Linked DNA regions of Drosophila melanogaster. The protein of the gene in region 2 interacts with the protein of the main gene of each other region in a pairwise test. Each region holds a gene or a part of one and is shown on either strand. Other genes may lie near its edges. The genes, in order: Ldsdh1, sturkopf, Jheh1 and Gp93.

Evidence for each region.
Region 1: the proteins of sturkopf (region 2) and Ldsdh1 interact in a protein complementation assay, tested with the Drosophila melanogaster proteins (one study listed by BioGRID).
Region 3: the proteins of sturkopf (region 2) and Jheh1 interact in a protein complementation assay, tested with the Drosophila melanogaster proteins (one study listed by BioGRID).
Region 4: the proteins of sturkopf (region 2) and Gp93 interact in a protein complementation assay, tested with the Drosophila melanogaster proteins (one study listed by BioGRID).

What each region holds. Positions count from the first base shown.
Region 1 is NC_004354.4:8,076,710-8,085,297, reverse strand, and holds Ldsdh1 (lipid droplet subset dehydrogenase 1), read left to right. Parts: upstream 1-3,692; 5' UTR 3,693-3,848; coding exon 3,849-3,868; intron 3,869-5,375; coding exon 5,376-5,871; intron 5,872-5,945; coding exon 5,946-6,128; intron 6,129-6,399; coding exon 6,400-6,663; 3' UTR 6,664-6,948; downstream 6,949-8,588. Other genes in the region: CG2256 (uncharacterized protein), read left to right, coding at 56-422, 503-626, 681-1,040, 1,096-1,215; CG1571 (uncharacterized protein), read right to left, coding at 7,126-7,554, 7,618-8,588.
Region 2 is NT_037436.4:1,310,121-1,317,089, reverse strand, and holds sturkopf (sturkopf), read left to right. Parts: upstream 1-3,712; 5' UTR 3,713-3,834; intron 3,835-3,884; exon of another isoform or gene 3,885-3,968; 5' UTR 3,969-4,177; coding exon 4,178-4,370; intron 4,371-4,429; coding exon 4,430-5,160; 3' UTR 5,161-5,371; downstream 5,372-6,969. Other genes in the region: Herc4 (HECT and RLD domain containing E3 ubiquitin ligase 4), read right to left, coding at 1-352, 415-705, 766-1,089, 1,150-1,411, 1,478-2,204, 2,381-2,617, 2,755-2,932, 3,000-3,080; Ctr9, read right to left, coding at 5,382-6,462, 6,776-6,969. UniProt on the Drosophila melanogaster protein: Probable serine lipid hydrolase associated with lipid droplets. Appears to lack or have very low cholesterol esterase activity. Appears to lack triglyceride lipase activity.
Region 3 is NT_033778.4:18,852,907-18,859,927, reverse strand, and holds Jheh1 (juvenile hormone epoxide hydrolase 1), read left to right. Parts: upstream 1-4,840; 5' UTR 4,841-4,874; coding exon 4,875-5,084; exon of another isoform or gene 5,085-5,140; coding exon 5,141-5,340; exon of another isoform or gene 5,341-5,394; coding exon 5,395-5,605; exon of another isoform or gene 5,606-5,663; coding exon 5,664-6,467; 3' UTR 6,468-6,494; downstream 6,495-7,021. Other genes in the region: Jheh2 (juvenile hormone epoxide hydrolase 2), read left to right, coding at 2,078-2,275, 2,525-2,724, 2,837-3,044, 3,237-4,022.
Region 4 is NT_033777.3:27,945,161-27,953,876, reverse strand, and holds Gp93 (glycoprotein 93), read right to left. Parts: upstream 5,167-8,716; 5' UTR 5,016-5,166; coding exon 4,976-5,015; intron 4,894-4,975; coding exon 4,804-4,893; intron 4,707-4,803; coding exon 4,624-4,706; intron 4,536-4,623; coding exon 3,283-4,535; intron 2,950-3,282; coding exon 2,052-2,949; 3' UTR 1,726-2,051; downstream 1-1,725. Other genes in the region: CG4951 (uncharacterized protein), read left to right, coding at 1-379, 536-733, 792-884, 953-1,120, 1,195-1,402, 1,463-1,636; mfrn (mitoferrin), read left to right, coding at 6,567-6,683, 8,537-8,625, 8,676-8,716.

The DNA.
Region 1 (8,588 bases), on a different chromosome or scaffold from region 2:
AGACAGAGACACGCACCCATGTAAAGCTGAACCTTATTTTTTTTTTGGGTTGCAGGAAAGGCGGGCGCTGGCAAGGGTCGTTCGCCAACACCGACACCCAATCGGGATGGCGGGGCAACGGCTGGTGCTGGCAGTGGTGGAGGCGGTGGTGGTGGTGGTGGTGGTGTTGCAGCGGCACCCACAGCAACTGGCGGCACCACTGGCGTTGGTAGATCCACACTACATGCCAACAAAACGATACTGAAAACGGTATCCGTGTTCCTTGCCAGCGGCAAGCGCAACTCGAGCAACCAACAGTCGAAGGCCGCCGCGGCTGCTTTGCAGAACAAACGGCAACAGCGGCAACGGAGGATGGATGAGTTGAGCGGCAAAGTGAATCCCAAGCTGTTGGACAGCCTGCGAAAGAAGACGCGGTTTACGAAGTGAGTGAATTACATACAAACATACATACATAATTTGGAGTACGATGATGAACTGTATGTGCCACTTGGCGCCCGAATAGGGACGAGCTGGATGCGTTGTGCCGCATCTATCGCAAGCTGGTATCAAATTGTCAATATGCGGCCAAGACGCTGGCCTCCAGCTCCTCGAGCGCAGCTATTGCCAAGCCACATGCTGCCGTGGAGGTAACTATGAACAGATCCTGTCAAGAAATGGTGTTTCAGCGCCACTCTTCGTAGGGCATCGATCGCATTGTGTTCCGCGAGCTGTTGCACAGCACTTTCGACATCGTCACCGAGGAGATCCTGATGGAGCGCATCTTCTGCAGCTGGGACAAGGCCCACGAGGGTTTGCCCCTTCGCCTCGAGGGCTGGCTCATTGGACTTTCAACATTCCTGCGCGGCACGCCGGCGGAACGGGCGGCTTTTTGCTTCCGGGTTTACGACCTGAACACGGATGGCTTCATCACCAAGGATGAAATGTTTACGCTGCTGCGAAATTGCCTGATAAAACAACCGCAGGACGAAGATCCCGACGAGGGCGTCAAGGATCTGGTGGAGATTGTGCTCAAGAAGTTCGACCTGGACAAGGACGGCAAGGTGAATGGATTGGTGGTGGTATAATTCCTTACAGATATAATGATTTGGTTTTCAGGTCTCCCTGGAGGATTTTATGGGCACGGTCACCGCGGAACCATTGCTAATCGAGGCATTTGGCCAGTGTCTGCCCACAGATAGCGCTGTGGTTTCCTTCTTCTCCACGCTGCAGGTGTGATCAGCATCCAAATATCTTTGAATTTGTTATATTAATGTAATTAATAAAATTTTAATCAATAATTTATGCATAATATACATATATTTCGGTCTTTAATGGTGCAGTACATTAGTACATTTATCATCAGACGTTTAGTTATGAATGCCAATACTTTGCACGATCGATAGCGTGGAACTTGTTTATGCATCCCACCTGAACTGGTGATCCCTACAAATAGCCAGACTTAAAGCGGGTCCGATTCGCGAATGCTGTTAAGACTAATTGCGTTGGCTAGTTGACTTAGTGGTGACCCCGACCCACGACAGGGGTGCAATTTGCAGTCGCAAATCTGTAATTGGCACGTATCCACATTGGGATCATTCCCCAGATGAAGGTGCGAATTGAGATGGATGCCGCGGATGAGTCGCCAAGGCGTCATATTTATGCAAGCCTCGGGTGAAACAATAAGCCAGTCAGTTAGACAGTCAGCCAGTCAGTCAATCAGTCAGTTAGTCAGTTAGTCAGTTAGTCAGCTAGTCAGCTAGTCAACCGGTCTGGTTATGCGAGCTAATTTATTCGATTAGCCAGTCGCATCCACAGCAGAACAACTATAGCCGCATAGATACAGATACACAAGCCCGCCCGACTAGCGAATTGTCACGAATCTTGTTCATCTATTGAATGCATTCATGCAACGCAACGCCCAAAGCCTGTTTCTATTCGAAATTGTTTTGTTTTATTGGGTTGCACTACGCCACCCAGCCACCGATATCTAGATAGATGGCTTCCATTCCATCTGGCATATGGAAGGTGGACCGGATCGTTTCGAATCGGATCGGATAGACGGCGAACCGGAATGAGTGAGTGCAGCATGTCAGCTATAAGGTGTCCGTCCAAGTTCGAGTAGCCGGAAAGGAAGATGCTGCCCTTGATGGAGAGGCGAGCAGATAATGTTAATCAACTTGACTTGGCATTACATCTCAATATTAATATACAAAATTTTTATATTTTACTAAGCTTTCAGTATTCAAACTAGAACGATTTAACACAAGTAATAAATGCTAATGCACTTACTTTGGAATTGCAAACAAAGTATCACCCATGACGTTGACCATAAATAAGTAACAGATATAGCAGATATAGTTAAGATCAGATTAATCGCCCTTTATAGATCTGGTTGCAATTTAAAAGTTTGAGAAACTATTGTGAATATATTAGTAGCACAAGTCTCTAATTAGTCATTAGTGTTGTCAGCTGTAAAATATATATATGTGCCATATAAAAAAAAACCAGTCGTTTATGAATAATTAAATTCTTAGCAATATACTTAATTATATAGAAGCGCCTGTTTGCTATTGCGGATGAACGTTGAACGTTAGTTATATCGCCGATGAAGTGATCACTCATATAAATGTATTACCAATAACCCAAGGAATCCCATTCTTATCTTCATGGGTTGGGCTCTACTCGCCCGACTCTCTATATGGTGAGAGTCCCATACTTTGACCCAATGTTCCAATCGAAAAATAATGCATCATGCTGAGCCGGCAAATGGCAAGGAGCACTATCTAATCGCAATCTGATTCCTATGTCTCAGGGGTCAAGTAGTGCACAGCTAAGACCCTACCCTCTAACCATCATACCCTACCCTGATAAAAAAAAAAAAAAACTAAATCTTTGAACCAAATAATACCTCTCATTGGCGTACATTGTACATTGGTTCTGGTTTCCTGAGCTTTTTTTGTTTTTTTTTTGCCGTAGGCCAAAGATCATCCTGCCAGTGCTTATCTTCGCATATGATTTGGTCAAAAAAAAAATAAGTGAATGAAACCGATCTGTTTAGGCGAAGCTTTTGTGTGTTAATATCGGCGCCGTAGATCTACCTTGGCATTAGCACCCCCTTTGGCACTTTTTTCACCTTTGGCTTTCGCACACCGCATCTCTGTATCTCATCTCTCTGAGTATCGAAGTATCTGTGTATCTAAGTATCTGGGTATCTGAACGATCTGGGTCGTAAACTCCGCCTGGTTGTGTGTATTTTTATATATGACACATATATATCTTATTTATGGCCGACTAGGGTATTATTACCGGACCCCGGATTAACAAACAGGCATTTGCTATCTAACAAAAATAAATACATACATAGAAATATGCATTTCATACCGGCTGAACCGTTGCACATCCGCGGATATCGTTCGTTCCATATAGATCGGATCGGATCGGATCGCATCGCATTGGATTGTAATGGTATAAATCGGAATGACAGTGCCATTGAACATATGTCGTAGTTGTGTTTATAGAACGCTCTGCCTGCGTCGCTGCCGCGGTCGACGTCAACGCTGCCGGCAGAGTGTATCTACAAGTAGTGCCGGTGTGCCAGTGTACCAGTACCATATAGTATTTGAAAACCCAGTGGTGTGTGTGTGTGTGTGTGAGTGTGTGTGTGTGAGTAGATTTGAAATAATAACTTATAAGACCGGCGTGGCGGTACGGTGCGTAGTGTTTACTTTGCTCAATATTCAGTCCGAATTCGTTAACAGCCGCTAACGGTTTGCTCCGGCTGCTCCGATCCCTTCCTATATACGTATATATATATATAGATATATATATACATTAACGATCCTCGCAGGATTTAGCCAAATACACGAAACATGTCGAAAGTGACGCAAAGGTGGGTAATCACCGAAACAGAAGTGCTACCCACCAGTTGGTAACAAATCAAGAAAAGAAAAAGAAAAAAAAAAAACCTAAGAGAACTATCTTATCAACGGAACATTTGGAACAAAGTGTAGTGCAATATTTTAATCGCCAGCGATAAGATCACCTTATCGACTTGGGTCTACAACCAGTGGCCCGGAGGAGCAGGGTTCAATGAGCACCAAATACTAACTAATACTATTCAGCTCGATGGAATAATTGGCCCAGAGATCGCATTATAGATGACCAAACCATCCATATGAATGATGATGGATGATCGCTTCAACCTTTGACCAACCATTGTGCAATCTGTATCCGCTCACTTAAGCGCCATTCACCTTCGTTCGACTTAGTTTAACTATATCAAATTGCCCTGACCAAAGATCGCCTTACACTTATTGACCGGGCAAAGGATCATTTGAAATTTTTTTTTTTCGGTGAAATAGTTTTCACACGCTTGAGAGGACATAAGTGCAGAGGATCGCAGTTCAAATACTATGCTACTTTCCAAAATGGAAAATATTTTCCAATATTGTGGGCTGTTCGGAACGATTTTGGTCCGATTCCGAACGTCGTACTATAAATAGCATTCCAGAAGTAGCATTCCGATAAGAGCAGTCTCCATGGCAGTGAAATGCGCAAGTGAAACGGAGCGATAGAAAGTGCAAGGGGGGCGAGAGCGAGAGAGAGAGGGACATGGTAATGATGGTCAAGTCGATGGCACGATCTGCTAGAATATATAGCAAGTATATATATATACATATATGCATATACTATCGCACTACGTAATGCATGGGCGAAAACACATTGAAACCACACCAAAAAAAAAAAAAAAAAAACCAAAAAGCTGGAAACAGTTCGGCATTATCAAGATCTCACGCAGCTGCAGCCAGCGAAATATAATTACAGAACATGAGCTGGGAGAAAACACGATGACCCACGTTGGAACCACCCAAACCCGCCCATTGCCGCCCCCCTTTTTTTTTTTTTGGCTATTTCCGCATTTCCCACGAAAAACCGAAACACATTACATGACATCATTGATAAGTAAATAACAGAAATGTGTCATAAAAAATGGAATGATACAAAGAAAATTTTTCATTTAAGCGACTTGTTTTCTCCCAGTGTAGCCGCAAAAAGTGAGGATGGCAAAGGTCATGCGATTGTCGCTGGCTGTAAGATAAGGCATATACACGCACATACTTGCCATCCAAATGACTGTGGGTCATGCAAGAGTTGGAGGGTTCCGGATTAATCCCATTTGAACTCCACTCCGCTTGATAATTATGATGATGCCCAAGATCAAGAGTCAATGTAGAGAAAGCACGCACTTGCCACAAAAAACCATAGCATTATGTGGTTTACTTTATTATTAAAAAGCAAATATATATATATTTAATGTAGTTTACAGAAACATGCTCACAATTAAGCCTTAAATTTACCCTAATATTTGGTAATAATATCGTACATATTTCTTTCAGTGCTGACAACGGCAGCAACGCCAACAGCAATGACATCTACAACATTGTCCTGCTGGTGGTTGACATCGTGATGCTGATCGTCAAATTCTGGCTCGCCATTGCGGAAGCTATCGTTGGACTTTTCCGCGCGCCGCCGCTCGATGATGTCAATGGCAAGGTGGTCCTGATCACCGGCACTGGCCACGGCATGGGCAAGGAGATGGCACTGCAGTACGCCAAGCTGGGCGCCACCATTCTCTGCTGGGATGTCAATGAGCAGACCAATAACCAGACCGTCAAGGAGATCAAGAACAATGGTGGCAAGGCCTTTGGCTACGTTTGCAATGTGACCAAGCGCGAGGAACTGATCGAACTGGCCCAGAAGGTGCGCAAGGAGCATGGATTCATTCATGTGGTGGTCAACAATGCCGGCATCATGCCCTGCCATCCACTGCTGGAGCATACCGAGAACGAGATTCGTCTAATGTACGAGATCAATGTGCTCTCTCACTTCTGGGTAAGTTGATGTGATAGTGTTAATATCGATGTTATCTCAATAGTAACATTGACGACCATTCACTTCATTCACAGATCATCCAGGCGTTCCTGCCCGATATGATTGAGCGCAACGAGGGCAGCATTGTGGCCCTATCCTCATGCGCCGGACTCTTTGGACTGATCAATCTGGTGCCCTATTGCGGCACCAAGTTCGCCGTTCGTGGCTACATGGCCGCCCTCGTTGAGGAGCTGCGTCAGAAGAACCCACAGAACAACGTAAGTACCAACTCACTCACACTTTTATTAGCATTTAGTTGCTCATTATAATCCAGTTGAGTGTCCAATTAAAAGGTTATTAGGTGGTTAAGAGTAGCTAATTAAAAATAATATATTATAGCTCGTACCAAGCAGCCCGTTTAATTCTCACCGTTAGGCGAGCATCTTGGTTTCACACTACGATTTTATTATCTCATATGGATGAGACCTTTTCCCATAATAACTCCATGAATTCGAAGTTTAATATAACCCACCTACTTTCCGCTTGCAGGTCAAGCTGACTACCATATATCCGTATATGATCGATACGGGTCTGTGCAAGAATCCCCGCTACCGATTCCCCAATCTGTTCAAGCTGATACCCGCCGATGTGGCCGCCGGATCGATCATCGAGGCTCAGCGCCAGGGATTGGAGGAGGCGGCGATTCCACGACATTTCGTGGCCGCTGAGAAGATCGGTCGCCTGATTCCACGCAAGGCGATGCGATTGGTCAACGATTTCTTCGACACGGGTGTGGATACCGATAAGTCCTAGAGCTCAGCTCCAAGTGGCCAAATTGAACACCCCATTATCCATCTAAAAGTGGATGATTTAGCTTTAATCTTCTCCCCCCCCATTTGTTCACTTTATTTTGCTTATTTTTTTTTTCCCAGTGTACTATTAACTCCATTTAATTGCTGTGTAGAGAAGTGCAACTAATGCTATATGAAAAGTGAATTTAACGAACTAAATTTAGCTGTTAGAAAGGTTGTTACTTAATTAAAAAGTCGCACGTAGTCGGGCTAATTGTGTTGGTCGTAATAAAGGTCTCCAAAGAGTACTCCATAATGTGATTAAATGTGGTTTGACCCGCTAGTCATGGTCTTAATGGTGCTCATCGTATGGGGTTTCATCTGTTTCCCGCAGCTTTGGCAAACAGTTTGTATTTAAATGATAACTTTATTTCAATTTGCACATCATATCAACATATCCAATAGTTCATATTCATATTTTTTTTTACTGGTGCTTCATGGATCCTTGCGAAGCTCTTGGCTCTCCCGAAGTCCTCTTGTCATAGTTTCCCGACGTCTGAACCTTTCGCTCGGGCTTGGTGTATACGACGGGCTCACCCTGAAGCTTTTCGTCAGCCGGATTCCATTCCTCAAAGACCGTACGCTCCATGATCACCTGCCGCTTGGAACGCTTCCTCTCCACACTGAGTATGATGTCCTGGAATTCGGTGATGGCCGTGCGAAATTCTTCATCGCCCTCGATCATCATCACAAACTGATCGGGATTGTCGGGATCCAGCTCGAGAGTGGGCGCCAGTTGTTGCTGCTTCCGGACACGTTCCTCCTCGGCCATTTGAAGCGTTTTCCGCTTTAGCCTAACTTCATCATAGCGAGCCTCCAGTAGTTTACACCGCACGATCTCCCGCTCGAACATCTTCCAGAAGATATAGTGTTAATTAGAGAGAGGGGATTACATTACAGAATGTTCAATTCTTACGGCGGCCATGAGTGCCTTCTCCTTGCCAGTTGCCTGTCGCATGGACTCATCCAGTGTCATGATGTGAGTGTCGCCGTTTTTCAGGCCAATGGCCAGCAGATCGCCCTCCGGCCGGAAGACCAAATCCGCAATGGCTACCTTAAAGTCCACGGAACGAATGGGCTTACGGTGATGAAGCAACAGATCCCAAAAGTCCACCACGCCGTTTATATCGCCAGTGACGAAAAGGGAGCAGCGACCTGTGCTCCAAGCGCCGCATAAAATCTGTGCATTCTTCCGGAAATACATGGTAGACGGACTGTCCTTGACCTCCTCCGACCAAATCCTTGCCCGCCAATCGCCCGTGACCAGAAAGTTCTTGACGAAAAAGGGATTTCGATTGATACTGCGCACGGGTCCGACAAAAAGTTGATAGTGAGCCAGAAGGGTTTCCATCGGAGTCATACCCTTGCGATTGCCGACAAAAACGTGACCCATATCGCTGCCGATGATGAAGCGCACCGGGATGGTGTATTCGAACTCCAACACCGTCACTCCATGCGAATCCATGCGCGATTGACGCTCCTGCGGTTCCGGTTCGAGGAGCAGCTCCTGCATGGGCATCTTCAGATCCCTGGTGTCCCAATACTTAATGGAGCCATCCAGGGAGCCCGAATAGAATTCCGTATTGGACTTGGAATGAACCCAGCAGAGGGCCGAAGTGGTCTCCCTGTGGGACACCTCCAGGGGGCAATTCCTTATGGGTAGTCCGCCCTTAAAGGTGCCCCACAGACATACCTGCCCCAGCCCCGTGCCACCGACCATGTTGTTCTCATCCTTGGGACAAATCTTGGCCAACGACACCTGCTGCTTGCTGTCGTAGGTGATCCTCGGCTTGAGTGGATTCTTCACATCCCACACATAGAAGCCATTTGTCCCGCCAAATGGTTCATCCGTGACCGGCCGCAGTCGCTCTCCCTTTGCAAAGTGAT
Region 2 (6,969 bases):
TGATGGTGAAGTTATAGATGGCCAGACCGCAGAGAACGCCAATTAGGAAGTACATGTTTTCCGTCTCGAAGGTGAGATCTGCAAACCAGAGCAGACGCGACTGCTCGTACTCCTTAAACATACCGTACTTGGGATCGAGCAGATCCTTGAGCAGCAACATGAAGAACTCCTTGCGCACGCCACCCGCGTCCTCCGCCTCCTCGCCATGGAACTTGATTTTCAGCGGCTTCTTAAGATCACTCTGCGAATAATGCTGCAACTCTCGAAGGGAATCCTGCACCAGATTCTCACGCGTCACGTTGAGCACAATGAACTGCGAGATGGGCATCCCGTAGTTGAAAAAGGAGAATGCCTGCTGGATAAAAAAGTAGTTATTAACTCATAAATCATTTCTGTTCGGCGTCATTAACCCACCATGGTAGCCGCATTGGCCATGGCGGAGTGCATCTGGAGCGCCTGATCCGCTTGGAGTAACGCTGTTTTAGCAGACTGGTCGAAAATGAATGAATAGTTGCAAATATTGAAATCTCTGGCAGTGTCGGCCATGATCCATTTAACGTACTCCTGCTGCACGTCTGCATAATCCGAAAGATCAGGCCAGTAAAAGATTTGATAGTTTAGGCGATCATGGCGCTCGTTGTTAATTTGGCAGAGCGTTTTCATCAGCTTTAGAATGATCTCGAGTTCAGTGTTATATGGCAGCAGCTAGATTATGAATAGAGAATTAATTGACACTGGTATGGCCCTATATTGAAATCTAAATACCTGTTGACGTCTTTCGGCGCTGGGACTAGCGGCAGCCAAGCCCATTTTGAAACTTATAATATGGATGACAACATGCAAGAAGTTCTGGACAAGATGCTCGAAGTATTCAGCCGGTGTTTGGGCCAACCACTTGTTCAGCACTTTCCGTGGGTTCTCTGCTAGCTTAAATATGGCATTGGCAAACGGAACCTGCAGTGACTTGTAGTGCTTGGAGTTGACGAACTCGTGGTAAAGTGGGAGCAGAAGATATAATCGCATGCTCTCCACATCTGCCGGTGAGCAAACCAGCGAACCAACTAGCTCCTTGGTTATATTGTCCCAGATCTGAAAACAATGAAATGATTAAAACAGATACCAATGATGCTTGTAATGGCGAAAACTTACCACCTGCCTAATGCTTTCATTTTCCACAGCGCGCAGATTGTCGAATGCTAGTTGGGCTGCTTTCAGATCCAGTCCATGGTTGCGAACCGAGCATCCAAAGTGTCGGTCGTGATCCAGCAGAAAGGAACCATTCCAACACGCCTGGCTTCTAAATATTAGTTCAATAGAGCTCAGTAGATCCATGTCGCTTTGAAGGCCCTGCTTGCATTGAGCACACTGCTTGGTGACTTCTGCTGTTAGGGTTAGGATCTGGGATTTGGGGCTGCAAAGTAGATATATGTTTATAGTTTTATATGTTTATACTAAAGTAACACGCTTCTATAGTTACTTGTAGTTTCTGAAATCCTCGGGCGGCACCTTGTCTACAAACAAAGTTGTGGTCACAATCGACTGATCGCCACCTGAGAAAATCTGTCGGATGACCAACGAGACCTGTGAATCATTGGATTGCAACAGGGCTGATCCGCTGGGCGACACCCAAGGACCGATGACCACCTGCGGCAGCATCAGGCTCTTGGTACTCCTCGTGCCCAGCTGCCCAGAGCTACCCAAGCCAAAGGCATAAACTCTGCCGCGCGATGGAACAAGCGCCAGAGTGTGCCGATTGCCACAGGCCACCTGAGTGATGGTGCTGCCCATTAGCTCCATTACCATTCGCGGTAGCATCTCATTCGAGCTAAAGCCATGACCCAACTGCCCATAGGCGCCAGCTCCACAGGTGAACACCCCTCCCTCGTTGGTCAGAAAAACGGAGAACTCATCGCCGCAGGCCACAAATCGCACGCCCAGGGTGCGCAGCGTTTTCAGCTGGGTGGGATACGAGCGGTTCGTTTCGTCATTCAGTCCCAGTTGCCCGCAGTTGTTTCTGCCCCATCCGAACACCGCACCGGACTTGGAGATGAGGAACGAGTGATTGCCTCCACAGGCAATTGCGGCCAGCGGAATTCCCAGCAGAGTGGTTAGTCGGAGGGGATAGTTGCAATGTGTCAAATCATTGGGGGAGTTCACGCCCAGCTGACCGTAGATGTTGGAACCCCATGAATACAGCTCGCCACCTAGAAACGTCAAGGATGATGTTAGTCGGAAGGTATCGTTGTTTAGCTTTAGATAAGAATTGTTTAGTAATGCCCTAAACTTGGGAAATACAATTATCTTATCTTGTTTCAAGTAGTTCTGATGTGTATCTGTGTATCTAGTGAATGGAATCCATTAAATTTCACTCCATACTTACAACTGGTCAGTGCCAAGCTGTGATTGTTGCCGCAGGCGATCTGCACCACCGTCTTTGTGACCAGTTGCCGCACAACCTTGGGCAGCTGCACGATCTCCTTATCGGTGGCATGGCCCAGCTGGCCGCAGTCGTTGTCGCCCCAGCTTAAGACCTGGCCCCAATCGGAGAGCGCCAATGAGTGGCGGCTGCCGCAGCAGATCTGGATGATCACGTAATCCTGCAGTTCGGGGATAAGCACTGCAAAAAGTCGGCCGGAAGATGATTGCGGGGTTTAGACTCGGTTCACAGCAGTGGCTCGCGTAGTTGGTGAGTATGGAGATGAGGTGGAGTTAGTGGAGAGTGGACAGACAAGACGATAAATGAAGATTACATACGAAATGGCGACATACGTGGCCTTTTGGTGGGCAGATCGTGGCCCAGCTGGGAGTAGTCGTTGCTCCCGCAAGCGTAGACTTTTCCAGTGGCGGTCAGAAAGAGAGTGTGTCGGTGTCCACAGGCGACCTGCTGTACAGCAGTGTCCGGTGTCCAGGGTATCTGACTAGGTGTGAGGATCTGTGAGGAAATCAATGGCATACAAAAGTAATATCAGTGGGCTTATATCCGAAAGTCATCTATCTACCTGCTCGTCCTCGATTCCGCCAAGTCCCAATTGACCATGTGACGTGCTTCCCCAGCAATAGAGCTCTTTGCCAGATGCCATTGCTCTGGATCCGCCCAATAGCTCCTTCGGTTGTTCTGGGTATAATAATTTACTTGTTGGTGCTACAAGAATTTTCGAGAATGTCCCCAATTGTTAGCTACATTCTTTTGTGTCCACTTGCTCCCGATTCCAATTGCTCGGTTCATGCCTCGTCAAGCTTTCGATGGGTGTGCCTTCAGAATCTAAGTCTAATCCTGAATCCTGTTACCTACAACGCTCTATAAATTTTAGGCCTTCTAGAAAAAAAATATAAAAACTCAAAAACCAGCAACAAAAAACCAATAAATAATGGTGGCGATGCCAACTGGTTGGGATAGGGCCACATTGCCCACGTTGGCAGCCCTGACAATGGGCTTAAGCTAGGGCTGCATCGCTTGCGGACTTTTAAGATCCGCTTTGAAAAACCTTAAGATCGGATAATTCTCTAGAACTTATGCTGAACACGAATATCAAAATGTTTTCTCAATTTTTTCCGAAAAAAGAAACAATTTGCGATTTTACATATAAGTTTTGGTTAATAAAAAATGTATACGTAGGTAACTAATGTTAGGGAGTACTTTCGAATATTTAATGATGATAGGTAAAAGTTAATATGAAATTTATAAAAGCTTCTAGTACTGTAAAGAGATATCAATAGGTTGACAAATAATAATTTACGCCATAGTATTTTTTTTAAAGTTAATGCATTTTGGTTTTTTTCTTTTTTAAACAAAATTATCTACACTTTTTCTCTGTCTGAGCAATCGTTATCATGGTAAGTATCCGCTAATATAGAACATCTGATTTTGGCATAGCTTGCCGCCCTGGTTTCTGTATCAGCCGTTTTTAAGCCGCTGAACTTGTGACCTTTGTCCATTCTTGCTGGAAACAATTGGCCGAAACACATAGCAGTGTTTATCAGAGCTATCAACCCTGGGGATAAACCGCGCCAATCCTCAAGATTTGAAACTCGTGAAAGGCTGCAGCCGAGGTGGTTGGACAAAGGAAAACCGGTTGCCACGGGGATTAGACAACTCATCGCGTGTGAAAAGAGTGGGATCAACACAGGTGCCGATTGATTTTCAGCGCAGTTTGCCACGCCAACAGCAGCGGAAAATATGCAGGAGGCCTACGTCAACATCAACTCCATTCCCACCCACATATTCACATGGGGCAGGTGGATTGAGGAGACCATAACCGAGAAGGAGATCGTCATCTGCATAACTGGCAATCCCGGTTTGCCAGGTTTCTACACAGAGTTCGCAGGCACTTTGCAAAAGGAGTTGGGCGATCTTCCAGTTTGGGTGATAGGTGAGTGTGCTGGCGTTTCCACATTGAGTCGGTAATAGCACACTTGATGTTCCCTCCAGGGCACGCTGGCCATGATGATCCGCCAGAGGCCAGTATTCGGGAGGTTCCTCAACTCAGCGGCAACGAGGAGCTCTTCAATTTGGACGGACAAATCCGGCATAAAATCGCCTTCATCGAGAAATACGTGCCAAGTGATGTCAAGATCCACTTGATTGGGCACTCCATCGGAGCGTGGATGATCCTGCAGCTGCTGGAAAACGAGCGGATACGGAGTCGCATCCAAAAGTGCTATATGCTGTTCCCCACCGTCGAGCGGATGATGGAGTCGCCCAATGGATGGGTGTTCACCAAGGTGGCCATGCCCCTGTACTCCGTGTTTGGCTACATTTTCTTCAGCTTCTTCAACTTTCTGCCCGTGTGGTTGCGCCTGATGCTGATACAGATCTACTTCTTGATTTTCTCCATTCCACGACAGTTTCTGGGCACCGCCCTAAAGTACTCCAAACCATCGGTAGCGGAGAAGGTGGTCTTCCTGGCCGACGATGAGATGGCCAGGGTTCGCGGGATTCAAAGGGAGATTGTAGAGCAGAACCTGGACCTCCTCAAGTTTTACTACGGCACTACCGACGGATGGGTACCAATCTCCTACTATGACCAGCTCAAAAAAGACTACCCCAAGGTGGACGCCCAGCTGGACACCAAGAAGATCGACCACGCTTTCGTCCTGCGCCACTCGCAGCCTATGGCTGTAATCGTAAGAGACATGATCCAGCAGCACAGACGTGTTTGAAGTCGATTGTTGACCTGGCCCAGACAATCAGCCCTGTCCATTACCTAATCCATCCATGCCAATAGACTTGGGAATCCGGATTACGGTTGAACAGCAAACCAATAGCAATTACTCCACTGCCTTTGTGTGGCAATTAGTTCGTTTTTATTAGTATCTTTTTGCAGCTCTCGAAGACAACTCTAAATATAGTCAAAAGTGATTTAACACGGTTGAGAGGTGCGTTATTTTTCCGGGGACCCTGATCTGCTACGGGATTCGGACTTGGATCGGCTGCCAGAGCGAGAGCGGGATCTTGAACCCGACGGCGAGCGGGATCTCGAGCGGGAACCGGACTTTGAGCGCGATCTCGAACGGGATCCCGACTTGGAGCGAGACCTCGATCGAGATCCGGACTTGGATCGAGATCTTGAACGGGAACTCGACTTGGAGCGAGCACGGGACCCAGATCTATCCGATTCCCCGCCAGATTCGATGCGATTCCTGGCGCGCTTCCGCTTAGTTGCTTCATCACTGTCACTCCCAGATCCAGATCCACTTCTGCTCCTGCTGCGCTTGCGGCTAGCCTCGCGATCACTGCCGCTTCTAGAGGCACTGCCACTTCGGCTACCACTGCGATTTCGACTCCTGCTTCTACTTCTGCTCTTGCTGCGCTTGCCGTCAGACTCGGATTCGCTGGTGGAGATCGTCTCCTTGGAAAGCACCTTGAGGCGCTGCTTGGCAGAAAGCTTCTCCTTGGACTCTTTAACCGGCTTCGGCTTCTTGCCCTTCTTCTTTCCCGACTTGCCACTGGCACCTGGCTCTTCCTCGCTGTCGCTCTCGTACTTCTCCGTTTTGCGCTTGCGACCGCCACCCTTTTTGCGTTCCCCCTTGCCCTTCTTCTTCGAGGGACGTTCTCCCTCACGACGAGCTCCATCGTTATCGCTTTCGGTACCGGAGATGTAGTCATCTTTACGACCTCGCCCACCACCCTTCTTGCGTTCCTTTTCAGGTGGAGCGTCCGCAATGATGAGCATGTTCTTGGTCTTCTCCACGTACTCCTGCCGCTTGGCTAACAACTGGTCCCTGGAGGTCTTTGCCTCCTCCTCGCGCCGCTTGCGCTGCTCCGCCACCTTAATTTTGAAGGCCTCGCGCTCCTCTTCCTGCTTCCGGCGCAACGAGCGCTCCTCCTCGTCAATGCGACGTGCACGGCCCACATGGTACTGGGCCTGAGAGAGAAGATCTTGGCAGGTGCTTGCCTCAATGCCAGCCACCTCAATGTTGAAGCGATTCTTATCCCCGTGCACGGACAGATATTGGAAGTATCTATAAGAGATTGGGGTGGGATATTGTGAGTGAGATTTTAAGCACGAAACAAAACATATTCATAGAAATAGTTATTGACCATGATCAAGGAAATCATCAGCTAATCTAATCCAATCTTCGGTTTAGCAGTTCATGATGATTGCTTTGCATTAATATCTAATCTGATCTGATAAGCTAAAATGCCATTAATGGTTACTCATTTCTGCTGTACTTCTAAATATAATCAAATTCACGTTATCACTTGGTTGGTACTCTAATAACCACTTGAAAATATTTGATAGGCGCAGTTTAAGAGAGCAAGGATACCACTTACTTTTGAGCCAGCTCCAGTTCATGGACAGCTTGCAGCACAATTTCCAGAGTAGATTTCTCATCCTTGAGTATGGCCATGGCCAAACGTGAGAGGACCACTGCTATGTTGAAGAGTAGAACTGTGTCCTGGGGAGCAACTCGACGGGCCTTAAGTAGCACTGCCTTGGCATCGACCAGCTTGTTGGCTCGTAGATA
Region 3 (7,021 bases), on a different chromosome or scaffold from region 2:
AAAAAAACTTTTGCTTTTGCAAATTCAAACCTATGCAGAGTCAGATGAAAGAAGAATTGAAAAAATAACTGTTCCTATGCGCAAGGAAGAGGCAAATGAAGAGATCTTTATCAGTTGTCAGAAGTATTTGCACACGGTTTCGTCGCATCACAATTATTTTCACAACGCAATTTCTTCTTCAGTGATTGGTTTAGAGTGACAAGTGCCGGTTTGTTTGCTTAAATACATTTAAATTATTGAATAAAAATTAGATTTAATCATTTTCCTATTACAGTTATTAAATAAAATGCCCAAAACAAAAGAGTTAACAGTTGAGGCCCGGGCTGGTATTGTTGCTAGGTTTAAAGCCGGTACACCTGCGGCCAAAATAGCTGAAATATATCAAATTTCGCGTAGAACTGTCTACTACTTAATAAAAAAGCTTGATACAGTTGGCACATTAAAAAATAAAAAAAGATCAGGCCGAAAACCTGTGCTGGACCAAAGGCAATGCAGGCAAATACTTGGAGTTGTGGCGAAGAATCCTAGTGCCAGTCCGGTAAAAATTGCCTTAGAATCAAAAAATACAATTGGCAAACAAGTTAGTAGTTCTACAATTCGTCGCAGGCTAAAAGAAGCTGATTTTAAGACATACGTTGTTCGCAAAACGATTGAGATCACACCAACCAACAAAACAAAACGTCTTCGATTTGCGTTGGAATATGTTAAGAAGCCTCTTGACTTTTGGTTTAATATTTTATGGACTGATGAGTCTGCATTTCAGTACCAGGGGTCATACAGCAAGCATTTTATGCATTTGAAAAATAATCAAAAGCATTTGGCAGCCCAGCCAACCAATAGATTTGGTGGGGGCACAGTCATGTTTTGGGGATGTCTTTCCTATTATGGATTCGGAGACTTGGTACCGATAGAAGGAACTTTAAATCAGAACGGATACCTTCTTATCTTAAACAACCATGCTTTTACGTCTGGAAATAGACTTTTTCCAACTACTGAATGGATTCTTCAGCAGGACAATGCTCCATGCCATAAGGGTAGGATACCAACAAAATTTTTAAACGACCTTAATCTGGCGGTTCTTCCGTGGCCCCCCCAAAGCCCAGACCTTAATATCATTGAAAACGTTTGGGCTTTTATTAAAAACTAACGAACTATTGATAAAAATAGAAAACGAGAGGGAGCCATCATTGTAATAGCGGAGATTTGGTCCAAATTGACATTAGAATTTGCACAAACTTTGGTAAGGTCAATACCAAAAAGACTTCAAGCAGTTATTGATGCCAAAGGTGGTGTTACAAAATATTAGTATTGTATTTATATAAAATAAAAAAAATTCTTATGTTGAAATTAGATGTTAAGCTGAAATTTACTAAATTAAGTTGAGTGAAAATACTTTTGAAGCGCAATAAACATGTGAAAATACTATTGACAACTTGCATGCATATTTTCTTTTGCTTTAAGCTTTGTACTATGAACCGTTATCTTTCGTATTTCTTTTCGACTACCTTCTGCATAGATCAAGCTAAGCGATAAGAACTATTTCAGGCAAATCGGACAACAACAAGAAGAAATATAACAAAAAGAAGTTGAAGTTTGCAAATATTGTGCGTTGTGAAAATACTTTTGACCACCTCTGTATATATTAAGGGCTCCGCGTGTTGGTAATTCGAGTTCTTAATCATTATTAATTAATTAAATCAGTATTTAGTTAAATGTCATATAACAATTTCATTTTAAGCATGAATCGTTTCTTGTTCACTTTACTTTCGTGGATTGATAAATGGAACTGCTTGATCATCTTCCTAAACTAAATGTAAATTTTAAGTACAAAAATTGCTCTCACTCAATTTGTTGCCAAAAGCTCGCCGAAATTCTCAAATTATTTGTCCAATCATGCTCGCATTGCATTGCCGTGTGGAATACGATCCACTTGAAATCCACAAGCCAACAAAAAGCTTTTGTTTGCCGGTAGCTTGCGCTTTACAAATCATTTGTGCTCGACGATCGTAAGCGAGGAGTTGCGCAGTTCGCCGATCTGTGTATATAGAATATATAAAGAATATAGCATAAACACACAATGGCGAACATCTGGCCACGAATCTTGGTCGGAGCTCTGACCATCCTGGTGGCCGTTGGCTATAAGAACTATCGCGATCTCTCGGCGCCCGGCAAGAGACCCGATCTGGACAACAACGCCTACTGGGGTCCAACATTGAAGGAACCTTATCGGGAGAACAAGGCCATCCTACCCTTCGACATCAGCGTAAAGCCAGAGGTAAATAAATATACATACACAAATGCATATATACAAATGCAAAATATCAAATCAGTATGATATGCAATCAAAGCTATGAATGTATAGTATATGTAAATATTTCGAATCATGCTGGTATGCAAGTATCATTAATTATACAGAATTTATGGTAATTTGTACAAATTCATACTATTTAAAGTTATATTTGATTTAATAATTTAATTTAAGTTATATAATTTTTTTAATATCCTTCATCACTTCTTATCAAAGGTTATTGAGGATCTAATCGGTCAGCTGAGTCGTCCTTTGAAAGCGCAGGCGCCACTGGAGGGTGTGGGTTTCCAATACGGATTCAATGCCAACGAACTGGCCAAGGTGGTGAAATACTGGCGCGATACATATCTGCCCAAATGGAGCGAACGGGAGGAGTACCTCAAGAAGCTGGATCACTACCAAACGGAAATTCAGGGGTGAGTGCGACAGAACTTATGGAAAACCGAAGTGTTCCACGCTTAATTAGTCGCCTGCTTTTGCAAATTAACATGAAAAGTTAACCCCAAATGTTTTTCCATTTTTTTGCAGTTTAAAAATTCATTTTATTCATGCCAAGCCAAGCCAGGTGAAAGGCCAAAAGCCCAAGAAGGTGCTGCCTCTGCTTCTGATGCACGGATGGCCGGGAACCGTTCGCGAATTCTACGACTTCATCCCTCTCCTGACCACGCCCAGTGACAAGAGCGACTACGTCTTCGAGGTTATTGCACCCAGTCTGCCCGGCTACGGATGGTCTCAGGTTAGATTTGTTTCCAAAGGGACAACAATAAATTGCTAACCAAGTAATGCTATATTCTCCAAAAGCCGTAAGCCATAGAACTTATCTCTTACTATGGCATTAATATATAGCACTTAGGTAGACAAGTTATTACACAACCTTCTCCAAATTACAAATTGAAAAATGACTAATTTTATATTTTTCCAACTCCAGGGCTCTTCAAAAACTGGATTCGGTGTGGCGCAAGTGGCGGTGGTGATGCGCAACCTGATGCTCCGAGTGGGATTCGATAAGTTTCTGGTGCAGGGTGGCGATTGGGGTTCCATAATTGGATCCAATGTAGCCTCACTTTTTCCGGAAAACGTGCTGGGCTATCATTCTAATATGTGCGGAAATAACAGCCCTATGGGTCAGTTGAAGATGGTGCTGGCCTCCTTTTTCCCCAGCTGGTTTGTGGACAGCGAGTATGCGGACTTCTACAAGGGACTCGGTCACTTGTTTAGCACCATAATGGAGGAGATGGGCTATGCCCACATTCAGGCCTCCAAGCCAGACACCATCGGCAATGCTTTGATCGACAATCCAACTGGTCTGGCTAGCTATATTCTGGAGAAGTTCTCCACATGGACGAATACGGCATTTAGATCGCTTCCTGACGGTGGTCTGACCAAGAGATTTACCTACGATCAGCTTCTGGACAATGTGATGATCTATTATGTGACCAACTCCATTACCACCTCCATGCGTCTGTATTCCGAATCAATGGTTGCCTCGCAGTTTGCACTGGCCGTGGACTCCGTGCCCATCAAGGCCAAGGCTGGCTGCACCCGTTTCGCCCATGAGATCACACATTTCTCCGACTCGGTTTTGGCCAACAAGTTCCCCAATCTGGTGCACAGTACCCACCACCGGGATGGAGGTCACTTTCCCGCTTTTGAGCTGCCCCAGCAGCTGTACGACGACTTTGTGTCTTTTGTCCAGAAAGCCAATTTCTCATAAAACAAAATTGTTTATCATTAGTTATAGAAGTCCATTGTACATTTTCATCGTGATTCTTGAAAGAAACGGTTATGTTTGTTGCAAAAATTAAATCAAATCGACTTGGTGATTGTATTTGCCTTATCTGCTTTGAAAACCGAAAGTTGAAGAGTTTTTTGTTTGGAATACACGAGTGGCGAGCAAAAGGGCAGTGTGTGGTGTTTGCTTTCATAAGTATATGTACATATATGATATATCTAAGCTCGGAACGATGTTACGTAACTTATTCCCATGGGCTATAGTCGACATTGGTGTACCCTTTATAAGAAATCATGTAATATGTTGAATTATTACTTAACTAAATGACAGTAGAGTGATATTAAACCAAATGAACATCAAATTTTACTTGGCAACAAAGATCTCACACATGTTCAGTCTACCCCAGTGTAGTTCGAAAATAAGGGGTATTTTTTAGCTAACCTGGTAGCCCAGCTGCGTCGCAAAATATACAAAAACAATTCGCGGGTCTCATTCTTTATACATATAGTACATACATACATACATACCCCTCCGGTCTTTACCCGTAAAAGCTTCAAACCAAAAACCGGCATGTAAGCTTTGTTGAGTAAATAAACAAACAAGCCGATTCATTCGAGTCATCCCCGATGTGGAAAGCCGCTACTCCGTCTCAGTGGAGTCGAGTCCAAAGTAAACCCGCGATAAGCCCCAACTGATCGGCGTAGGGTGGTCACTCAAAGTCGCTTATCATCATGAGCGTCGAAAACGAGAGCTGCGCCCACGATGATATGGTAGAATCAGTGGAATCGTAGCTGCTATCCGAGACAGTCTGAGTGGAACCGCTGATAGGAACAGATGGGTGTCACTGTTAAAATTCTGGTCTTGATACTGGCCATTGCCGGTGGGCTGGTCTATAGGAATGTGACCCAACTATGGGCGGACTTGCCCGCACCAAAGTTGGATCCCCAGGAGTGGTGGGGCGATGAGGCGCAGCCCAAGGATTACGAGGCCTATTTGAAGAACAATTCGGAGGTGATAGGCAATAGGCTTAGTTATCCGGATAAGGTAAGTGGGGGTCTATCCATTATTATGTACTATATACTAACTCATACCATGTGCAGACCATTGCTGATTTGAAAGAGCGTCTCAATCGCACCCTGCGCCTTACGCCTCCGCTCGAGGGCGTGGCTTTTGAGTACGGATTCAATACGAATTACCTTAAGGAGGTCGTGGAGTACTGGCGCGATGACTACCTGCCGCGTTGGCGCGAACGCGAGGTGTTCCTTTGGCAGTTCAATCACTTCACCACCGATATTCAGGGGTAAGATAAGGTGCCCACTTATCATATGCACAGATAGTAACGATGGGGTTTTAGGCTACGCACACACTTCCTCCACCTGATGGTTTATGATGACAACAAAGTGGGTAAGAAACACTATCCGGTGTTGCTGCTCCACGGATGGCCGGGATCGGTGCGGGAGTTTTACGATTTCATACATTTGCTGCATCAGACCAATCTGGACAATAATAACAAGTACATCTTTAACGTCGTGGTTCCGAGTTTACCAGGTTATGGCTGGTCACAGGTGGGTTTTGTCCAATCTACGTAGTGTATTATAGGCTTATCTGTCTCTTATCCTGCAGGGCACCTCCAGAAAAGGACTGGGTCCCGCTCAAGTGGCGGTGATGATGAGGAATCTTATGCTGCGTTTGGGATACAACAAATTCTTTATCCAGGGTGGAGACTGGGGCAGCATTATTGGCAGCAACATTGCCACCTTGTATCCGGAAAACGTGCTGGGCTACCACTCGAACATGTGCAACAATTTGAGTCCGAAGTCGCTGGCTAAGGGTTTAGTGGCCGAATTTTGGCCCAGTTTGTTTGTGCCCTCTGGCTTTGAAGATTTCTTCTTTCCCAAGTCTAACGAGATGAGATACCTAATGGAGGAGAGTGGCTACTTCCACATCCAGGCCACCAAACCGGACACCATCGGAGCCGCCCTCACCGATAACCCAGTGGGTCTGGCCGCCTACATTCTGGAGAAGTTCTCCACGTGGACAAATCCCAGCTACCGATCTCTGCCAGATGGAGGACTCACTAAGCGCTACAAAATGGATGCCCTGCTGGACAACCTGATGATCTACTACCTGACCAATTCGATTACCACCTCCCAGCGTCTCTATGCCGAGCAGTATGCCCAGGCACAGCGGGACCTGCACCTGGATCGGGTTCCCACCCGAGTGCCAACTGGATGTGCCCGTTTCAAGAGCGACATTATGCAGTTCCTGGATGTCCAGTTGAAGGATAAGTACACGAACCTAGTGCACAGCACTTACCACAAAAAGGGCGGGCACTTTGCCGCTCTAGAGGTTCCAAAGGTTCTATACAAGGATTTTATAGACTTTGTCGAAACGGTGGAACGTAAGTTTAAAATTAAGACTCTGTAGATCTTCCAATAAAAGCTTAATTGTTACAAAAAAAAATTAGTTTTTATTTGGTATCGATAACCTAAATGGTTTTGATCCTGGAAATGACTAGGTACCCGGAAAAATAGTAGTAGATGTTACCGTTTTCCACTTTCAACTTTTCACTTTTCTATTTAACCTTAATATTCAATGTTGTATTAGGAATATTTAATTTGTTATATACACTTCAATGAATAAGTCCAAAACAATTCATTCATATTTTTCATAATAATAATAATTTGGTTTAGTTTCTATGGAACGCATAGATTAAATTTTTAGAAGAATAATCGGGACATAGTTTAATTTTTATCATTATCGGTATTTTTTAAATGTTGTACCTCAGCAAACACAAAATACTGAAAAGGGTACCTTGTTTTAGGGCCAGGTACACGCGTGAAGTTACCTCCCATCCCTGATCCTGGAACATTACAATCGGGAATCGGAGTTAAAGTGGCTGCGCAGATGGTCAAGAATATATAGGAATATTAAACAATTACAAATTTGGAATACAGGATTTGTGTGAGATACAGGCTGGT
Region 4 (8,716 bases), on a different chromosome or scaffold from region 2:
CCAAGAATGATTTCCATTGGATGACCGCGGATCGGTGGAGCCGGATTGAGTGTGGTCTATGGCGCCTGTTCGAGAACCTGAAGCAGTGGCAGGATGCCTACCAACTGGACACCGAGCTCATTATCGATCACATCATCGTGCGCGTCCAGGCGACCAATAAGTCGCATCCTGCAACGGTCGCTCTTCTGGCCGGTACGGAGTCCAGCTCCAAGGATCTCTGCCTGGACCTACAGCTGCAGTACATAACACAAGAGGACACCACCATTGTGGACGTCATTCCCGCCAAGCGCGAGCTTGCCACGGAAGCAGAAACAAATGGCACCAGACCCACATCCCGCAAGATCCGCGTAGCAAACTCAGGATCCAAGCCAAAAGCGGGGTAGGAAACCCTATTAATTAGTCCCAAATACTCCATAGGCTTGGATTGTGTGGTTTTTGATCCCAATAGCTATGAACCACCTTTGCACCTTTCACATTTTATGTACCGAAGTTGAATGCATTTTAATGTTTTCTCCACTGCATGTTTCCCCTCCAGCACACAATCGAAGCCCAAGCACATTGACGCCGACAACGAGGATGACAAGAGCTCCACCACGGCCAGCCAACCAACCAAGATCAAGAGCGAGCGCAGGTCCATTTCCCAAGGAGGCGAAAAGGATAAGGCTTCTTCCAGCAGCCCCAGTTCCTCGCAGCAGAGCAACCGCATTAAGCGATCGCACAGTCCATCACAGCAGTGAGTTAGGCGAAGGCTAGGATGTGAGAGAACTAAGAGCCTATTGATCTATTCGCAGGAATTCCAGATCCAGCTCCGTTGAGGCCAAGCCTGCACGCCGCTCCGGCCGATCGCCCATACGCCCGAGTCGATTCAAAAACTTCGTAGTTGGGTAAGCCATAGAAATATGGTGCTATAGCGATCAGTTTCATTCATCATTTCCCTGGCTGCCATTTTCAGCGAGACCAGGAGCGGCAAGAGCAGAGGACCCAAGCCCAAAGTGAAACGAGTATCGCCAGTGCCGGCCAAAGATTTCAAGGTGGAACACATGGACGGAGGGCGGTTCAATGCATTGCAGCGGCTGGACAGCATGCTGGACACGCCCAAGCCGCGCGAGGTTAAGATTTTGTAAGTGACTCGACTAGATGCAAATAAAGCGAACACGAATGTGCCTTCAACTTGCGTTCTTTTGATTGGCTCAGACTCTTGGAAAAAATGGGCGAGGACGAGGTGCTGAATACGTTCGAAAACTATCGCAGCGACTTCGATAAGCTGTTCAAGGAGCGCGAGTTCAAGCCGCGCACCAGTCACTACATGAACATTGCCCACATGGACGTCATCGACATACTGAGCAAGAGCATTCACCAGCAGATGCTCAAGAAACTGGGCGAGGTCTACAGCAGTCGAAGCGTAAGTTTGGGGCGTCCTGGAGTGACACACATATCCATCCTAACATGTCCCGATTACCAGAACCACACGTCGCTGCTGGTGAACGGACTGCTCCCGCTGTGGATAGTGCGCCTCTTTATGGACACATACACGCTGTCCCAATCGGAGGCCGTGCAGCAGATCCGCGACCAGATGAAGTACAACACCTACTTGAGGGCCCTGAACGATGAGCCGCTGAGTTCCGATCTTGACTGATCGAGCAATCAATTCACTTTTTAACTATTTTTTGGTATCCGATTGCGGAAATTTTACATTGCGCGCCATATTAAATAGGCAGTTGTTTTAGTTTTAAATTCATTTGTCTTTATTTGTTTTGATTGGAATCTGTTGTGTACTAAGCATATTACATTGTATAAATACATAATTCACTTGCTTTCGAAAAAAGAAAACGCTTGAGCAACCAAGTGTGCTGGCTGAAATGGTGGAGTGCTCTCTGGGCGACTGGCGGTGATGACGGCGTGGGCGAAGGACTACGAAATTATTTTACTTAGAATCTAGCGTGTAATGTTGATGGAGTGCCCGCCCGGCCACCCGGTGGCGGTTTAAAACTCAGTCTGAACTTCACACTCTTATGTACAATCTATTTGGACAGTGGGTGAGGTGAAGTAGTTTACAGCTCGTCGTGCTGCTGCTCCTCCTCCTCATCATCGGCGTTGCCGCTCTCCTGGCTGCCGGTGGCGGTCTCCTCGGCATCATCCTCCTCCTCCTCGTCGAACTCCACCTGCTCGTCTTGGGAGACACCCAAGGTCTGGCGCATCATCTGCTCAATACTGTCGGCGAACTGCGAAGTCTCCTGGAGCATGTATCCAGACCGCAGGGTGGCGGTGCGGAACATCATCACAGCCATGTCCTTGGCGGTGTCATCGGCCTCGTCGGCCTCCACGCGGCGCAGCAGCTCGCGCATCAGCGGATGCCTGGGATTGATCTCGAGCGTTTTCTTCTGGTTGAGGTAGTAGGTGCGCTGAGGATCGTCGGACTTCTGGTGGGCGTTGGACATGGCCAGACGCTCCATGTTGCCGGTCCAGCCGAAGACGCCGGCCACGAGGGCGCATGGCGAGTTGCTCAGACGCTCGGAAACCTGGGCCTTGGAGATCTGATCCTTGAGTGCCACATCGTTCAGCCACTTGACCAGCGGCTCGAAGGTGCTCTTTAGCGACTCGAAGTTCTTCTTGCTCTTCTCGGACTCGTTCAGCTGGAATCCCTCCTTGGCCACGTTCTGGAACTTCTTGCCATCGAACTCGGGCAGCGCGGAGATGCAGTACTCGTCGACGGCCTCCACCAGATACAGCACCTCGTATCCCTTGCTCAGCAGACGCTCGACGAACGGCGACTTCTCGACCTCAGCGCGGTTGGCACCAGCGATGTAGTAGATGTGCTCCTGCTTGGCCTTCATGCGCTCCTTGTACTCCGCCAGCGAGGTGACGCCCTTGCCGTTGGAGGTCTGGAAGCGGAGCAGCTTGGCGAGACGCGATCGGTTGCTGGGATCCTCCATCACGCCCAATTTGATGCTGAAATGAGTCAATTAAGTCTTGATAAGCAACGAAAATCCAAGAATTCGAGGTTATAGCTAATGGAAATGCTTATTTAACTAAAATAAAATATTTAAGTATAAACTCTACACGTCACCAGTGCCAATATTATAATACTACGTGGATTTCCTTATCTTATCAGCGCGGAATTCTTTAAAGCAACAAACTAAATATATTAATTTGTTGGCAAAAAATAATACACGTCATTCTATTCTCCATATTATAATGGATTCTGCGGAAATGCTTATCATAAATAACTAATTATTTGAACAGGCAAAGAACGTTTCTTAATTCCTAGAAAGCGACACTTACTTGGTGGAGAACTCCTTCCAGAACTTCTCATACGCCTCCTTGTCGATCTTCTTCAGCATATCGAGAACCTTGCGGACCAGCTTCTTCTTGATCACCTTGATGAGCTTGTGCTGCTGCAGAGTTTCGCGGGAAACGTTCAGGGGCAGATCGTCGGAGTCGACGACGCCACGAATGAAGCTCAGGTAGTTGGGCATCATGTCGTTGAACTCGTCGGTGATGAAAACACGGCGCACGTACAGCTTAATGTTGTCGGACTTGGTGCCGTAGCGGTTGAAGGACTCCGATGGCTGCACCTTGGGCACGTAGAGCAAACTCTTGAAGGTCACCTCGCCCTCGGCGATGAAGTGCGTCTGGGTCAGGGGCTCGCTGGAGTCCTTGGTCAGGCTCTTGTAGAAGCTAGTGTACTCATCCTCGGTCACTTCGGCGGGCTTGCGCGTCCAGATGGGCTTGCTGTCGTTGATCAGGGTCCAGTCCCAGGTGGTCTTCGAAACCTTTTTGGTCTTGGGCTTCTCATCTTCGGCCTCCTCGACCTTGGCGTCCTCATCCTCCACGTCATCCTCGCTCTTCTCGGGCTTGGCCTCCTCCTCCACGGGCACCTCCTCCTCGACGGTCTTGCTGGACCACATGCGGATGGGGAAGTTGATGAACTGCGAGTACTTGCGGATGAGCTCGCGCACGGTGTCCTCCTCCAGGAAGTCCTGGGCTTCTTCCTTCAGATACAGCGAGATCACGGATCCTCGCTTCAGAGTATCGCCACGGGGATCCTCGGTGATGCTGAAGCTGTTGGCATCCGACTCCCAGATGTACTGTTTGTCGTCGTTGTGCTTGGTGGTCACCACTACACGATCGGCGACCAAGAAAGCGGAGTAAAAGCCCACACCGAACTGTCCAATCATGTCGTTCATATCGAGTCCCTCCGACTTGCTGGGATCCTGCATCTTGGCCAGAAAATCGGCAGTGCCGGACTTGGCAATTGTACCCAGGTTATTGATCAGATCCTGGTGAGTCATGCCGATACCCGAGTCCATGATGTGCAACGCCTTGTTCTCCTTGTCGGCCTTAATGCGGATGTGCAGCTCCGGATTCGTTTCCAGCTCCTTGCTGTTGGACAGAGCCAATAGGCGGATCTTGTCGATGGCATCGGAGGCGTTGGATATCAATTCACGCAGGAAGATCTCCTTGTTGCGGTAAAGCGAGTTGATAATCAGCTTCATCATGCGGTTGACCTCCGTTTGGAAAGTAAACTTCTTCGCCTGCACGCACAGACAAAAGACAAAGAAAAAAGGGAAAGGAAATCCCGGTCATACGTGTACCTTCCAAATGACCTGGCAATGAACCCACCTTCTCGCGAATTTCCTTCAGCTGCGCCACGTTCAGGCCGTCCAGCTGGATGGCCTCCTCCTCGCGCTTCAGGGTCTCGGCATCTGGGGGATTGGGAATTAGAAAAAGGGGGCGGTTATCGCAACGCTGACGTGTACCAAACAAAACTCGTCGTCGCGAGAGGGGGGCGTGTCTACGTACCGGTGCGGGAGCCCTCCTTGAAGGAGCCCAGATCAAGGTCGATGGTCTCCGTTGTGGCGGCCTCGTCATCGGCGGCTATTTGATTGATGCCTAATCAGACGCGAATCAGACGCCAATTAATAATTAGGTTAAAACACCGGTTCAATGCGGCGTGGCAAATGTGCACACTTACCTGCTAGGAGCAGCAGGCCCACCAGCAAAAAGTACTTCATGATCTTTGGTAGCTTGATTTACGGAGCTCGAGCTATCGGTTCGTCCGGCGAAAGGCCACGTCACGAATAACAGATGCAATAAATTAGTCCGCACTTGCGTCGCCTGCTTTGATTTTTTTTTACTGACGCCGACAAGCGGCTGGAAGGCCTTTAAATGCCTCGCAGAGTGACCGTATTCCGGCGCTGGAACATTCTAAGCGCATTGGAAGGAAATACCAGGGGCTGCACTGGAAATAGGATATATATACAGCACAGAGCACGAAAATAGTGTAATTTAAATAAATTTAATGTTTGCTTATTTGAAAGCCCATACATTCATAGAATCTATTTGGGATTTAGTTTACAAGAGGATGTAGTGTCAAAACTCTACTGTTAAATATATTTAATTTGATAATTTACATTCTTATATCAATAGTTTACAAAAGGGAACACTTAGGCCGGTAGATATATGATTTATATTTGAAACAAATTAGTATCTTTTCATGTATACAACAACTAAGCTTTAAAATAATAAATTCTTCGGTCGGTTGCACAACAACTTCGTGTATATACAATTTTTAAGCTGCCAAAATAGATAACTGAGAACTTATTGATATAGCAAAGTAATGATAAAAATATGAATTGAAATAAAATATAAATTCCTGACAGAGATCAAGGAAATCCATTTCGTTTTAGAATATATAACATATGATTTTGTACCGTTCGGTTTATTTTACAATGTTAAGTTAAATATTTTAATGTTGGTATTTTTATTTGCCATGGCGTTAAGGTTCCGCACCCACATGTGGGTGGACTTGTGCTGGTATTTTCACCCGAGCCATTTTGGTATTTTGCGACGTTCCCGCTGCGGTCACTCTGGGCACGAGGCTTGTTTATTGGGCGAAATTTAATGATTCGCTGTAATCATACAACATTTGCGTCAGTTGCCAAACACCGACCCAGCCAAAATTCCGCTTCGGCCACAAACCGACTCTTATATATTCATAAAACAACCGATCCGCAGCCGCCACTCCAGCAGCAGCAGCTTAGCCGCGAGCAACTAAACCAGAAATTGCTTCCTCGCGTGAATCGTTGAATCGGGGAATCGTCTCTATGTCGTCTGTATGCTAGTCGTGCAACAGCAGTGTCAATTAGCAGTTTCGCATAAGACCACCTCACGCGTACACTCTGCACCACCACCGCCACCGCCGCCGCCTCCGCCAGCAGCACCACCCCCCGAAATACACCCGCCCGTGCGTCCGTGAATCGTCGTGTTATCCGTGTTATACAACAAAATTGCACCAAAAGTGCCCGACATACGCCGGCCAAGAGTTGCCCGCTAACCAACGCCGATCCTCGACAGGCGGAGCGACCCGATCCCAGCGGAGAAAGCGGCTCTGCAGCAGCAACTGCAACAGCGACTTGGCAGAACTGGTCCGGATTAGCAGGTTGTCGTAAGAGGAGCAGCGACTGCAAGGGCGCAACCACAGCATTAGCACACAACACAGTCGATAGTGCAGCCCCACCAGCAGCCTCAACAATCGAAAGCGACGGCAACCGTTCGGATCCACCATGAACATCGACGACTACGAATCGCTGCCCACCACCAGTGTGGGTGTCAATATGACGGCGGGCGCAATTGCGGGCGTGCTGGAGCATGTGGTCATGTATCCGCTGGACTCCGTCAAGGTGAGAGAGACTGCATGGCCGCCTGGTAATCGGAGGAGCAGCGGCATGAACATAACACGACCTAACCTCACTATCAATCGGAATTTTGTGTGTGCCGCCGCTGCTTTGGCATAATCGTGATGTAATTGCCCACGTCTCGAGTGCAACCAAGAGTTGCGTTTCTCATTAAGAGCTCTGGGTGGTATAGCCACATATAGCCGCTCTGAACGCTTATCGTAGCACGTTCCATTGGTTTATGCTTCCGCGATAAGATTAGCCATAGTAATTGGACTAGCTCTTATCGGCGGAGCGTTCTCATCGTTCTTCTGAAAATTCGGTAGGGCCAACCAAGTGCACAAGTCCGCCACTTAAGCGTATGCAAATGCCCACCTCGTAATGACGTTCGCCGCAAGTATATACACATATGTATATGGTTATATGTAAATATGTACATATGTACACCACGCATTCAATACCTATTATTGACCGATTCTTGTTTCGTTGTATTTCACTCAGCTGGCTGGTGGCTCGAGCACTTATTGATTTTCGTGGCCACATGTGTCAATCGCGCAAGTGACAGCCGGCAGGCAGTTGGTTGCCAGTCTAAAGCCTGGTCGGTATTCCCGGCGTCATCGTTATAATCTAGATTCTGGACACAGTCCGTTTGACGAGCTAAAATTCGTGAAGTTTTAAAAGCCAGAGAGCGGAAAACCAAATTGGACACCAATTGAGGCCGCTTGCTTGCAATAATTACCTATCACCGGGTTCTCTTATCACGGCACACACACAATACACCATCGGGATGAATGAATCATGTTGGCTCCGCGATCTCTTCGAACGCAGCTCTATCGGGCTTTTATGCAATGGAAACTTCTATCAGTTCGTCGCAGAGAACCCTTTAATTAGATTTCCCCCACTCGAGGGGCTACTTTTCACCTTGGATGGCATTGTTGACTTGTTATTGATAGCAGCAGCCAGCCGGCAGATAGATAAATGCAGTTGGGCCGTGTTCCAGTGAATCTTATCTGCATCGCAAAGCCAAGGCCTTCGTAATTTACAATATGGATGCTGCTCTCTGCTCCCAGATATAATTCCGACTTGTGTGCTCGACAGGCACGCCTTTAAATAAGTACAATTAAGTATGAACAGATATATATATATATACATACATATATATATATATGTATGTGCATATGCAATCATTAAATACGTAGGCAAATGCAAATCTCTAGGCTCCGAGTGACTGGCTCGTAAATCAGCGAAAGTTTTGCCGGGAAGCATGCAATTATATATTTGTATATTCCACTGATATCAATTATTAGTCCCTGCTGTTGTTTACAGATTATATAGCCCTTATCTCGACAATTATGGGACGAACAAAATTCGAAAAACTTTCTTTTGATGAGATCTATGCATATTCTGAACAATTATTTCCCTTTTCGGCTGCCACATTGCACAATTAGATTCTCGCCGACAGCCAGATTGAAATAGTTTCGGAAATCATCACCCCATCAGTTCTGAATCACAAATCATGATGAGAGCACGTTCTAAGGTCTTGGCAATGTCAGTAAGCGAAATGAATATTGGATATCCCCCACAATTGTATTGGGCTCTGTATTGCATATCATGAGTAACCATGACTTGCAGAAGAAAAGCAACGAGCAACGAGTCTATACGGCTAACTACCCTCGACTTAATCTACCTTTTTTTTATGTATTATCATAGCCAAAGTTAGTAGCCCTGACGCACCACTTTAACCAGTTTAATCTAGGACAAACAATGAGTAAATAAAATAACAAGTACTGCCATTGTGAAATGCACAATGTAAATATATATGCAATTATTTTAAACGTTCCATTATTGCCCACTTATAGACGCGAATGCAGAGCCTTTCACCGCCCACAAAAAACATGAACATAGTGTCAACCCTTCGGACTATGATCACGCGTGAAGGCCTGTTAAGGTGAGTGCTATCCGCCATATCGAGTAATCACTGTAACCGCCGACTTGCAGACCCATTCGGGGAGCCAGCGCCGTGGTGCTGGGTGCTGGAC